Drosophila melanogaster: one gene and its partner. Changing the gene in region 1 together with any one later gene gives a genetic interaction. Each region holds a gene or a part of one and is shown on either strand. Other genes may lie near its edges.

The links.
Region 2: of m (region 1) and f, changing one enhances a phenotype caused by changing the other (phenotypic enhancement), as found in Drosophila melanogaster (one study listed by BioGRID).

What each region holds. Positions count from the first base shown.
Region 1 is NC_004354.4:11,752,378-11,757,570, reverse strand, and holds the start of m (miniature), read right to left. Parts: upstream 3,299-5,193; 5' UTR 2,989-3,298; intron 1,923-2,988; 5' UTR 1,826-1,922; intron 1-1,825.
Region 2 is NC_004354.4:17,257,767-17,262,597, reverse strand, and holds the start of f (forked), read right to left. Parts: upstream 3,225-4,831; 5' UTR 3,124-3,224; coding exon 2,267-3,123; intron 1-2,266.

The DNA of each region.
Region 1 (5,193 bases):
CCCCTTACCGAAAATGCGAAAATCGACCCAAAATTTAATTTTTCAAAATCCTTCAAAAAGTGTTAGGGATACTTAGTATTGGTAATAAGCTGTAAAAAACAGTCATTGGTTTATCTTTATGACCATTTTTAGGCAAGTTACGATGCAAATTCCTATCGTAAGTAGTGCACTTTGGCCAAAACCTGTTTTCATTCGAACTGTTATTCGGAATTCTATTTTTTTACGAATTTTTAAAAATTTCCATGCCATTGTACGACTATACGCCCTGTTTTGACCAAGTTGAGGGAAAACTTGTAAGAAAACTCTACGGATTGTATTAGTTGAATATTTACTTTTGACCGCATTGTTCTTTTTGTAAGCTCAACTCAACAACATTCCTAAGTGTTTGAGATATCTTAGCTTGATGAGCCCCATTGGGTCGATCAGCACTCTCACTTTTCTAACCGTTTCGTTGGGCCAAAGATGCACTAAAGGCCGAAATGTGCCACGAAAAGTTTCCATTTCATTATGGAATGTTTGTAGAAAGGCAAAGAACAGTTAGACGACGAGACGCCGGCATCTCAAGCTCAATAGACCCCCCTCCCCACCACACACACACACACACTATATTTTCCAGTGTCCGAAGTATCTTTGATGTTGGCTGAATACAAATTAACATTCTGTGAAAGAAAAGACTTGTCGACGAGGTTTTATCTTGTATCCGCATCTGCATATTGTACACGTCTTCGTATCTCTGTATCTGTATCTACTGTATTCATGTATCTGCTGCTTCTACGATGTATCTGCAAATGTGGATATGGTATATGGATGTGAAAGAGCACTGGGAATAGAATTTACTGGGTCGATCGCGGCAGCAGCTCATAAATTATGCGTCATCGATGAGTGGAGTCGAGGGGCACGGGAACAATGAATGAAGAAACCAAGGAACAGAATCAGACCTTGAATCGAAAAGTGTTAGGCGGTAAGGTAAAGCCGCTTAGGGTCCCACCAATAATGGTTAAAGCCAATCATTTGAGGCCAAACAAAGAGATAGTCCAGCGTGGAGATAGCTGCCGTTGTCCGATATACTGATTCCCAATAGCGATTCCGAATGCGAATGCGAATTGCGACAACGAGACTTGCAACTTGCTGGTTGCAACCTGGCAACTTGCATTTATGGCCAAGTCGCGTGTTTGTTTGCTGCTGCCAATCTGGCCTCCTGGAATTGAGTTTATTGTGCCACAGCGGCGTGCTTTGGATTGTCGCATCAGCTTAATTAGAATTCGAAGTAGTTAACGGTGCATTTAATGCGCTCCAAAACGGATCAAATGCATTTGCACCGCTACCACTCACTTCTCCATCTACTTGGCCCCGTATCTGTGCAAAGATCTGTTCTATTTATCTGCTCTTCGCAGACTAATGAACCAAGTGCCAAGTGACGAAAGTTGTCATAACATTTCATTTGCTGCCTGTCGCATTGCCACACGGTTTAATGGTGGCAATGTGGCCAGTAAAAGATGTCAAAACAGTATGCTAATAAACGTGCTTTTGGCACTCTTATCCTCGCATTATCTGTCTGGCTTGTATCGAACATCGTCGTCTGGCTTGTTTAATTAATAAGCACATACTTTACATCCTTTGATTTAAGTTTGCTGGGGAATCTGATATTAAAAGCTTTATGGCCAGATAAAGACCACCAATAGTTGACTGCCTTATAAGATACAACGTGACCACAATTTCTTTTAAGAATCCTTACAGAGCAAGCTTACTCAACTATATTCTATTCTATATCTTACCCACTAAGTTTAGTAGTTTCAATAAAATATAGATAATGTGTGTAACTCACCGATAAGTTGTAATCTTTCCGAAGGTCAAGACACAGCTGAGTGTGTTACAGCTGCTCTGGACTCCTTATATTTCCGTTCTTTTGTGAAATCCCGGCTCTGCGTTTGGCAAATGCATTAAAATGTGAGTGAGGCACAAACAACAACAAAAAAAATAGCTAAATGGTGTAGCATAAAAATGTACAAAGCTGAGGAGGACAGAAGTGAAATCGGAACAGAACGGACCAAACCGAACCGGACCGCCTAACACGTAACGCAAATAAAGAAGAATCATCATCGTCATCAGAGACTTTTCAGTCCGAGTGAAGTCCGTGCTCATGGCGACTGATTGATGATTAGTTGCCATTTGACAGGTGTATGCGAGTTGTGCGGGGTGGCCGGGGACAGGGTGTGTGGGGGGGGGGGGGGTTAGAGAATTGGGGGCTTTGGAGTTCGGTCAATAAATAGTGCACCTGCTGGGCGTGTGGGAATACGATCCGCCAGATGACGTTGCTCTTTTTTATGGAACTCTAGCGTCTCGCGTCTCGTCTTCTTGGTACGTGTGATTGTTATGACTAACTATTATTATGTATGATTGTTATATTTTCCACACGGGAAAAACTTTGGAAAGTGCCAGCCGCCAAGGCGCAGTGCATGCAATACCTTTGATTTTGATTTCGATTCTGGCCAGGCTGAGAAGACACCACTCTGCTGGCAAGAGGTGCAGCAGAAGAATCAGTGGCAAAAGACGTGGACGCAGGGGCGCACAAGAAGCGGAGGCAACAAGCCAGCCGCATTTGTGCTAATTGGGAAAATTAGAAAGCATGAAATGCTCGGCTGCATTTGCTGTCTAGCTGGTTAATCGGCTCCACTGTCGGTCCAAGAAGACGAGGCAGAAGATGCTGGAAAGACTAAGATTGGATGTTTCACAGAACTCAAGCAATGCAATTGGCTCTGCGGAGAGAGGAATACGAATAAGATGCAGGAATGACAGATCCTGGATAAAGTCTTCACAGGAAGCAAAAGAAATAGACTTAAGATGTTGGAAAGCCGTGGACTGGCTTCTCCAAAGAATAGAATAAGTTTCTGGTTGCAAATCGTGGATATTTCACACAACTCTAAATTCAAATTGGCAATATGACAAAAACAAAAAAATTATTTGCTTTTGGATGGAAGAAACACTCACTTCGCGGGAACGTTTCTTCTCAACTCTCTTCTCGTTCTTTCTCGGTATCTTGCTAAGCTTAAGCAAGTAACGGTAACAGGCAGTGGCAACAACAAGAACAATAAAAAAAAATTGCACTAACACTTGTAAGCACTTCGGGTGGTGTTACTTATTTGATTTTCTATTTTATTTGAAATTTATTTATTTTATCAACATTTGTTGTAGGCGCGACTGGGCAGCACACTGGGCATCGGATCACGGATCACGATCACCGATCACGACCGTTAGCAGCAGCAGCACGTGTGGACTCGGCGAGCGACGAACGCGAAATACGCGAGCCAGCCAGGCGATACTTTCTTTGGCCTCGTAATGTAACTGTCGGGAACAGCAGCCGCAGCAGCAGCCGAAGAAAGAGGCAACAGCAGCAGCAGCACAAGAAGAAGAAGAAGCAGCAGCACAAGCACAGAAGAGTGAGCAAAAGAGAAAGGGGGAGAGAGGCAGCGCAAGAAGCTGGCAAAGCTAGACACGCACACACACACACACACACACACAAGCACACTGAGAGAGTAGCTCTGCCTGCGCCGACTGCGACTGCGCAACGAGCTTTTTACACCTGCGTTGGCAGCTGCGCAAATGAGCACAGCTCAGCCAGAACTTGTTGTTGTTATTGTTGCGATTGTTGTTGTTGTTGTTGGTGGCGCTAATCAAGCGGCCTAATGACATAGAATAGCCTGCCAATTAGACGACCAATAAAAAGAAACTTACATCTAGCACTTCAATAAAAATACATTCGAACGCCCACTCAATCAGCAGAAGATCGCGAGATTTTGAAAACTCCTCCTGCAGGAAAATGGCAACGCAGTGGAAAGCTGGCAGCGCAGCCGACGTTGACGTCGGGAATTTGGCGCACTTGAACTTGAACTTTCGGCGCGCTCGTTTCGTAGAGAAGCTTTCGACTTAATGGATACCCCTAAGTGTTCCCCATACATTAAATGATTGCATTATGAAACACGTAATAGGATTATAAGAAAATCTCGATGAATTTGAAGCTTATATTTATTTAAAATAATTTAATTATGAAACGTAAAAAACTCTTCAAAAGTAATAATTAAAATGTAAACACCTTGATACCATTCATGAAAAGTATAACGATTAATAACAACTTCATACCTTATCCGAAAAATACTGCACGCATGCAGGGCGAAATATTGTAGCCAGCTTTTCAGGTGGGCAAGGTGCATAAGTTAGCGTTTTGGGTCTGGGAACCGATCTGCCGGCTCATAACGGTTAAACAGTTTTCGCCCGTCGTTGACAACTAATCAAGATGGGAACAGAAGTTGATCAGAGCTGATTTGAGCAATAAACAAAAAAAAAACAAAATCCGTTTCCTCTTGCGATCTTAAGCTCTATCTCTCTTTAGCACACATCGGAATTGGCAAGCTTACACATACATTTGCACGCCAAGAATCTGCAACGGTTTCCATGCTGGCTCTTCTTTTCCTCGTTCTTCTTCTTCCTCTTGGTCTTCTACTTGGCAGCTGCTTTTCTCCATATTTGTTGTTAGTGTTTGAGAGGCTGCTCCTCGCTCCACACTCGCTCTCTCGTTCTCCCTGTCTCTCTCCGTCTCTTTCCCACGTGCTGGGTCTATCTCTCTTTGTAGACTGGGCGCATTTAAACGGTAAACATCATGAATGCATTTGGAAAGTGGTTGTGTTGTGGTTCGTGGTGTTTGCATTTTGCATTTCTTCGCATTCTTTTCTGTTTATGTGGCTGTTGCTGTGTGTTGCATCGCACAATTGTGCCAACAACAAGGCGGAGAAATGTGAAGAGCCAGAAGAATCAGAAGAGCCAGCGGCAGAAGCAGAACAACAGCAACGGTAATACCCACCGAAGACGGCGTTTTCATTTCTGAGAATTGATTGGCCGTCGGGCCTACATACTCCACACGCCACTGCGACTGCCTCTTCCAGAGTCTCGGCTGCCACATCGGGTTTTTTATTTAGTACCCTCTTCTTTTGAACACCTGGGAGCATGATGTCTTTAGCGGAAGAAAGTGGAAGAATCCCTGGGCTTCAGAAGAATGTGAGCTAACAAACCTCCTTAAATTTAAGTTTCCTTAAGCGAACTAGTTTATCCGACTTTCTTACCATTTTATATTCGTACTTTTGCGAGTTTTCCTTGAAATTAATTTATAAAAAGATATTTTACAATACTTCCACTTGAATT
Region 2 (4,831 bases), 5.5 Mb from region 1:
TGTAAGAAAGTAGCTTAATGACTTATTAGCCAAATTATGTAGAGCAGAATGGTTCGTAAGGAACACAACCCTGCACAAAGACCTCAAACTAGCAACGGTATTTGACGAGATAAACCAGCACTCGAGCAGATACCATGACAGGCTGGAGCGCGACAGAAATCGGCTGGCCAGCGCTCTTAACAGATCTCGCCCACCAAGGAGGCTCAATAGAAGGCAACCGAGGGATCTCATTTCCCGATCTCCTTTGACAAGGGTCAGCAGAGAAAAAATATTGCATACTTTTCAGCTTGCTTTGTATCTCCAATTGCAGTCTACTTTTCTGCACCCCAAACAAATGACTTAAGACACAAACTTACACACTAAGCTAAGGACTTAAGACACGAACTTGCCAAGAAAGTGCAACACAATTTTAAAACTAAATATTTAATATATTATTGAAATTCATTTAACGCCTTCCTTTTTACTAATATCTAGGAACACTAAATAATATATAAGTTTACCTTTGTTGCGAAGCAAATTAGTTACAAATTTCCTTAAAATTCACTTTTATTTCATTTTTCTCTTTACTAATAGCTAATTGTTTTTTTTTTACTCTTGTTGCAAATCTAGTAGCATGTTCAATATAGCCCACGAAAATTGCTCATTGTTATTAAATTGTTTGCTTGACAGCCATTTAGGCACAACTTTTAATTAATTAATTGGCCGGGGGAAGTGATGGTTATTAATTTTGATGGCATCTTTGTGCGCATCTTGGGCTGCACTTGGATTCACTGAGTGCCCTTTTCCGAATCACTAAACCAGGTCAAGTCTGCTGCTGACTCACCTGATTGCCGTTTCCGCGGCACAAATAAACAATAACAATCATAATAATAATGCTAAGAGAAACAATACACACGGCGACACATTAATTGAAAGCTGAGAAGCAGCGCCGCCAGCATTAAAATGCGAAAATACCGGGCATTTGTGGATGGATCTCGTTTGTCTTTGCTCGTTTGTCGCTGCTTTCCTCTTGTGGCAACAAAAAGAAACAGAAAGCCGCGAAGACGACACTTTCTTCCAGTTTATTGCATCAACGCTGGCATCGCCGAACACACCAAATGGCAAATGGAAAATGGAAGCGGGCCGGTAGCAGGTGTCAACAAAACAGGGCAGGTGCCACCGAGCCCATGAAACCCACGAAAACCACAAAGCCAACATAGCCAACAAAGCTAACAATCCGACAAAACTCACAAACATTTAGCTGAGAAAGAAAAAAGTGAAATAAGCTATTTGGCAATAGCATTGCAGGCCAGTTGGTCAACTGAAGTGGCAAAGGGGGTTAAGAAAATTATGATCTTTAAGGGTGTTAAGAGGTGCCCTCTGTTTTTTGGCTTCATTTGATCGCTGGCTCGTGATATAACTCAAGTAAACAGAAAGTAAATACTTATTTTAAAGGTGAAACAACTAAATTTTACATTTCCAATTGGCTGTTCGCATTAGACTTATTGATTCGTGCAGCTATTTAAAAAATGTATTTGCTCAATACTCCTATATACAAAATATTTTTGGCTAAGATACTAATGAGCATGGCAAACGCATCCATGCGGTTAATACTGTAATTCAAAAAGCAAAATTATAAACCTTTCAAGGCAAGCTGCTTTAAGTGAGTATTAAACAATACAAATAGTTTAATAATCTACAGACTTTAGAGTTTGTTTCTATTAACCTTTCGTTCATAGCATCAAAACAAAAACATAAATAGTTAAGTAAATATGTATGGGAGAGGAAGGGGATGGTCAAAGTTCGGAAAAAGTGAAAGAACAGAGAACGGAAGAAAATAATCATTTAAGAAATTATACTCATGAAGATCTGTGGGTTTTTATGAAATGGGAAAGCCGGAGAGTTTGTGGGAAATTTGCAAGCTGCTTTCGATCCAAAAGTTCGCACATAATCCGATGGGTAAAAACTATAAATTATATACCCATCCCGGATTTTGTCGTGGCAACAGACTCATTAAATAATAATACGAGTTTCCAAAGATTTTTTAAAGGTTGCACTGATATCAAATATTTCGGGTAGCACTTAAAAAAATATAGCACTAAATATAGAACCATAGTCAATAAATTGATATTTCTTGCACTCCCATATTATTGTAGAATTTGCACTTGTTTGTAGTCTTTATCGACATATTACTGTAACTAATTGATTTTGGCGCTCGTCTATTTTTGCAGCTAATTTGTGTTCTGGTTTGCCGTTTTTGTTTATTTTTTCTAGCGATTTCTTTTACCTCAATTTGATGGCAATATCGCGGCACTTGACGCATGGCACCTGGCCGGATTCCTTGTCGGGCACTGCTGCACTGCCTCCTTTTTCCGCTGGAGCTATTGTGGCATATTGGGCCTCCTCCTTTTCCGGCTGCTCATCTGCCTTCTCATCCGCCTCCGTTTCGCTTGCGAAATCCACCACCAACTCTTCGTTGGATTCCCGGTTGGATGTAACCACTTGCCTCTTGCTAAAATAGCCCACATGTTGGTCCACTCCCGCATTGGCATCCAGCAGGATGCGCTCGTAGGCGGCGCTCTCGTTTTCCGAGAGGGCAAAGCGCTGCTCGAAAACCCGCACGGGCAGCGAACTTTTCCTTAGCACCTCCATCCGCTTGTGCCGCAGCTCGATGGAGAAGATCAAGCGGACGCGCACCAATCGCCGGAGACCCTGATGCGTTGACCTGGCGCGCTGTAACCTCCTGCGCTGCTGTCTCAGCTCCAATTTCTCCAGACCCTTCAGCGATTTGGGATCGACCAGACCGTGATTGTAATCCTCCACTGCTGTCAAATCCAAAGCGGATCGCGTGCGACGCCAGGGCACCAAGTCGAAGTGAGCACCCGCCCAGGGATGGAAGTTCACCTGGCTGACGTTGGTGCTGCGATCCTGCTTGAGGATCCAATCCGATTGCTGCTCCTTGGTCACACGAACGTGATCATTCCGTGCCGCTGCCTGCGGCTTGTGGCGTTTATATCGCGGCACCAGTGTCGCCTCCAACATCCGAGCATCCAGACCGTAATCGCGACGCAGCTGCTCCAGCTCCCTGCTGCTGGCCGTAAACTGAGCACCGTTCCACACGATCACCGGCGCACAACTGGCCATTGGATTCGTTTCGTGGCTTGTTCCTCTTCTGGTTTTGGTTCTATATACGTATTTGTACGTTCGTTCCCACCCCGAAAATTCGTTCCCCCAAATTCCCGAACTAGTTGACTTTATGTCACTGATTGCGTTCTGTTTCTGATTTTCTGAAAACCCGCTCGTTTTCCGGTTTCCGCTCGGCAATGTCGCGTTTGTCGCGTCCGCGCTCCGTGACGCCGGCGACGCAAATGTTCGCTGGCCAAAAAAGATACAACTTCAAAATCCGCAGTCGGATTCCTATGCAAAAACGTTGCGCCAGCTGCGCTGCCAGCCAAACGCCACTCATGATTAAGAGTTTTCTGTTGCTGCTCTTCTCTGTTATTGTTATTGTTATTGTTGATGTAAATGTTTTTGTTATTGTAATTGTGATTATGGGCTGTTTTGTTGGAGCTGCTGGTGTTGTTGGTGCCGCTTTGTTTGCCGATATGCCACTGCTGCCGCAGCTACACGCAGCTACAAATATTGCAAATGCCCATTTAATATCTACTTAAATTTTTTTTTATTAATTTTAACACACTTAACTATAATGAATACTCTTAATAATAGTAATAATTGTAATTTTGCAAATAAAAAAAAATTAAATACAATATTTACAATCTAAATGACCATATTTTTCAAAACAAAATGAAAACAAATTTACTTTTAAAAAACATTTTACCTTTTTAAATAGGAACTTGAGTGACTTCTGCGTCATTTAATACCTATTTCTTTAGTTATTTATTTCAAGTGTGACAGGATCGACAACTTGTAAAACTGTTCAATTATTCACTAACGGTCTACTTCTAAAACTTAGATTTATTGTATGACTTTACTGCTTTTTATTTGCAAGTTTATTTTCGTATTTAAACATTTTAATTTTTATCTTACTTTTCACTCATTTTAAATCACTTTCTAGCAGGTTCGGACTGAAGCTATTAAAGGTGATTTACATCCACTTTGCCCGGACTCAGGCTAGCATTTTCTCTCTGTGCACGTTCAACGTTTGCTCAATATTGAAGAGTCGCGGGCTTAGCTGCCCCTCTGATTGTATTATTTATTTATTTTTCACGCTCACTGCCATGTCAACTCTGCTCTGGGGCAACCCTCTGACGGCGTCGACGTCGACGTCGCTTCACTCGGCTGAGCACGCGTCAGCAACAACAGAAACAACAACACTGGCATGCATAGTAATATTAACTAAAGCCCATAGTTGTTGGTATTATCACCGCTGTTGCTGGCCATTCTGCAATTCGAGTTCACAATTCTATTCTCGGCTAATTGACGGCATCGGGCCATTGGCATTGTATTGGCCAAATTAACCAACAATTGCGACAGTGAAATAGGCCCTTTTATAGTCCACATATATAGTACAAATATAGGTTCATAAAACAATACTTGAAACGAATTAATCATATCTCTTAACTATAATTTCACGTTGATCTATTGGAAAATATTTTTATTATTTATCTGTTCATGAATTGTTGAAGATGTTATAATATATTTTATCCTATAACTATAAAAAGAATTATTTAAAATTACGTTTGTAAATATTTTAAATATGTAAATATTTTTTGTAAAACATATTTGTTATAGTACATAATAGTCTTTATAATTATTTCAGCTACTTAAGGCCAATTTCATCATCGTTTTCCATTTGCCTTGATCGAAGTTTAGCTAATTTCTATAGAAAATA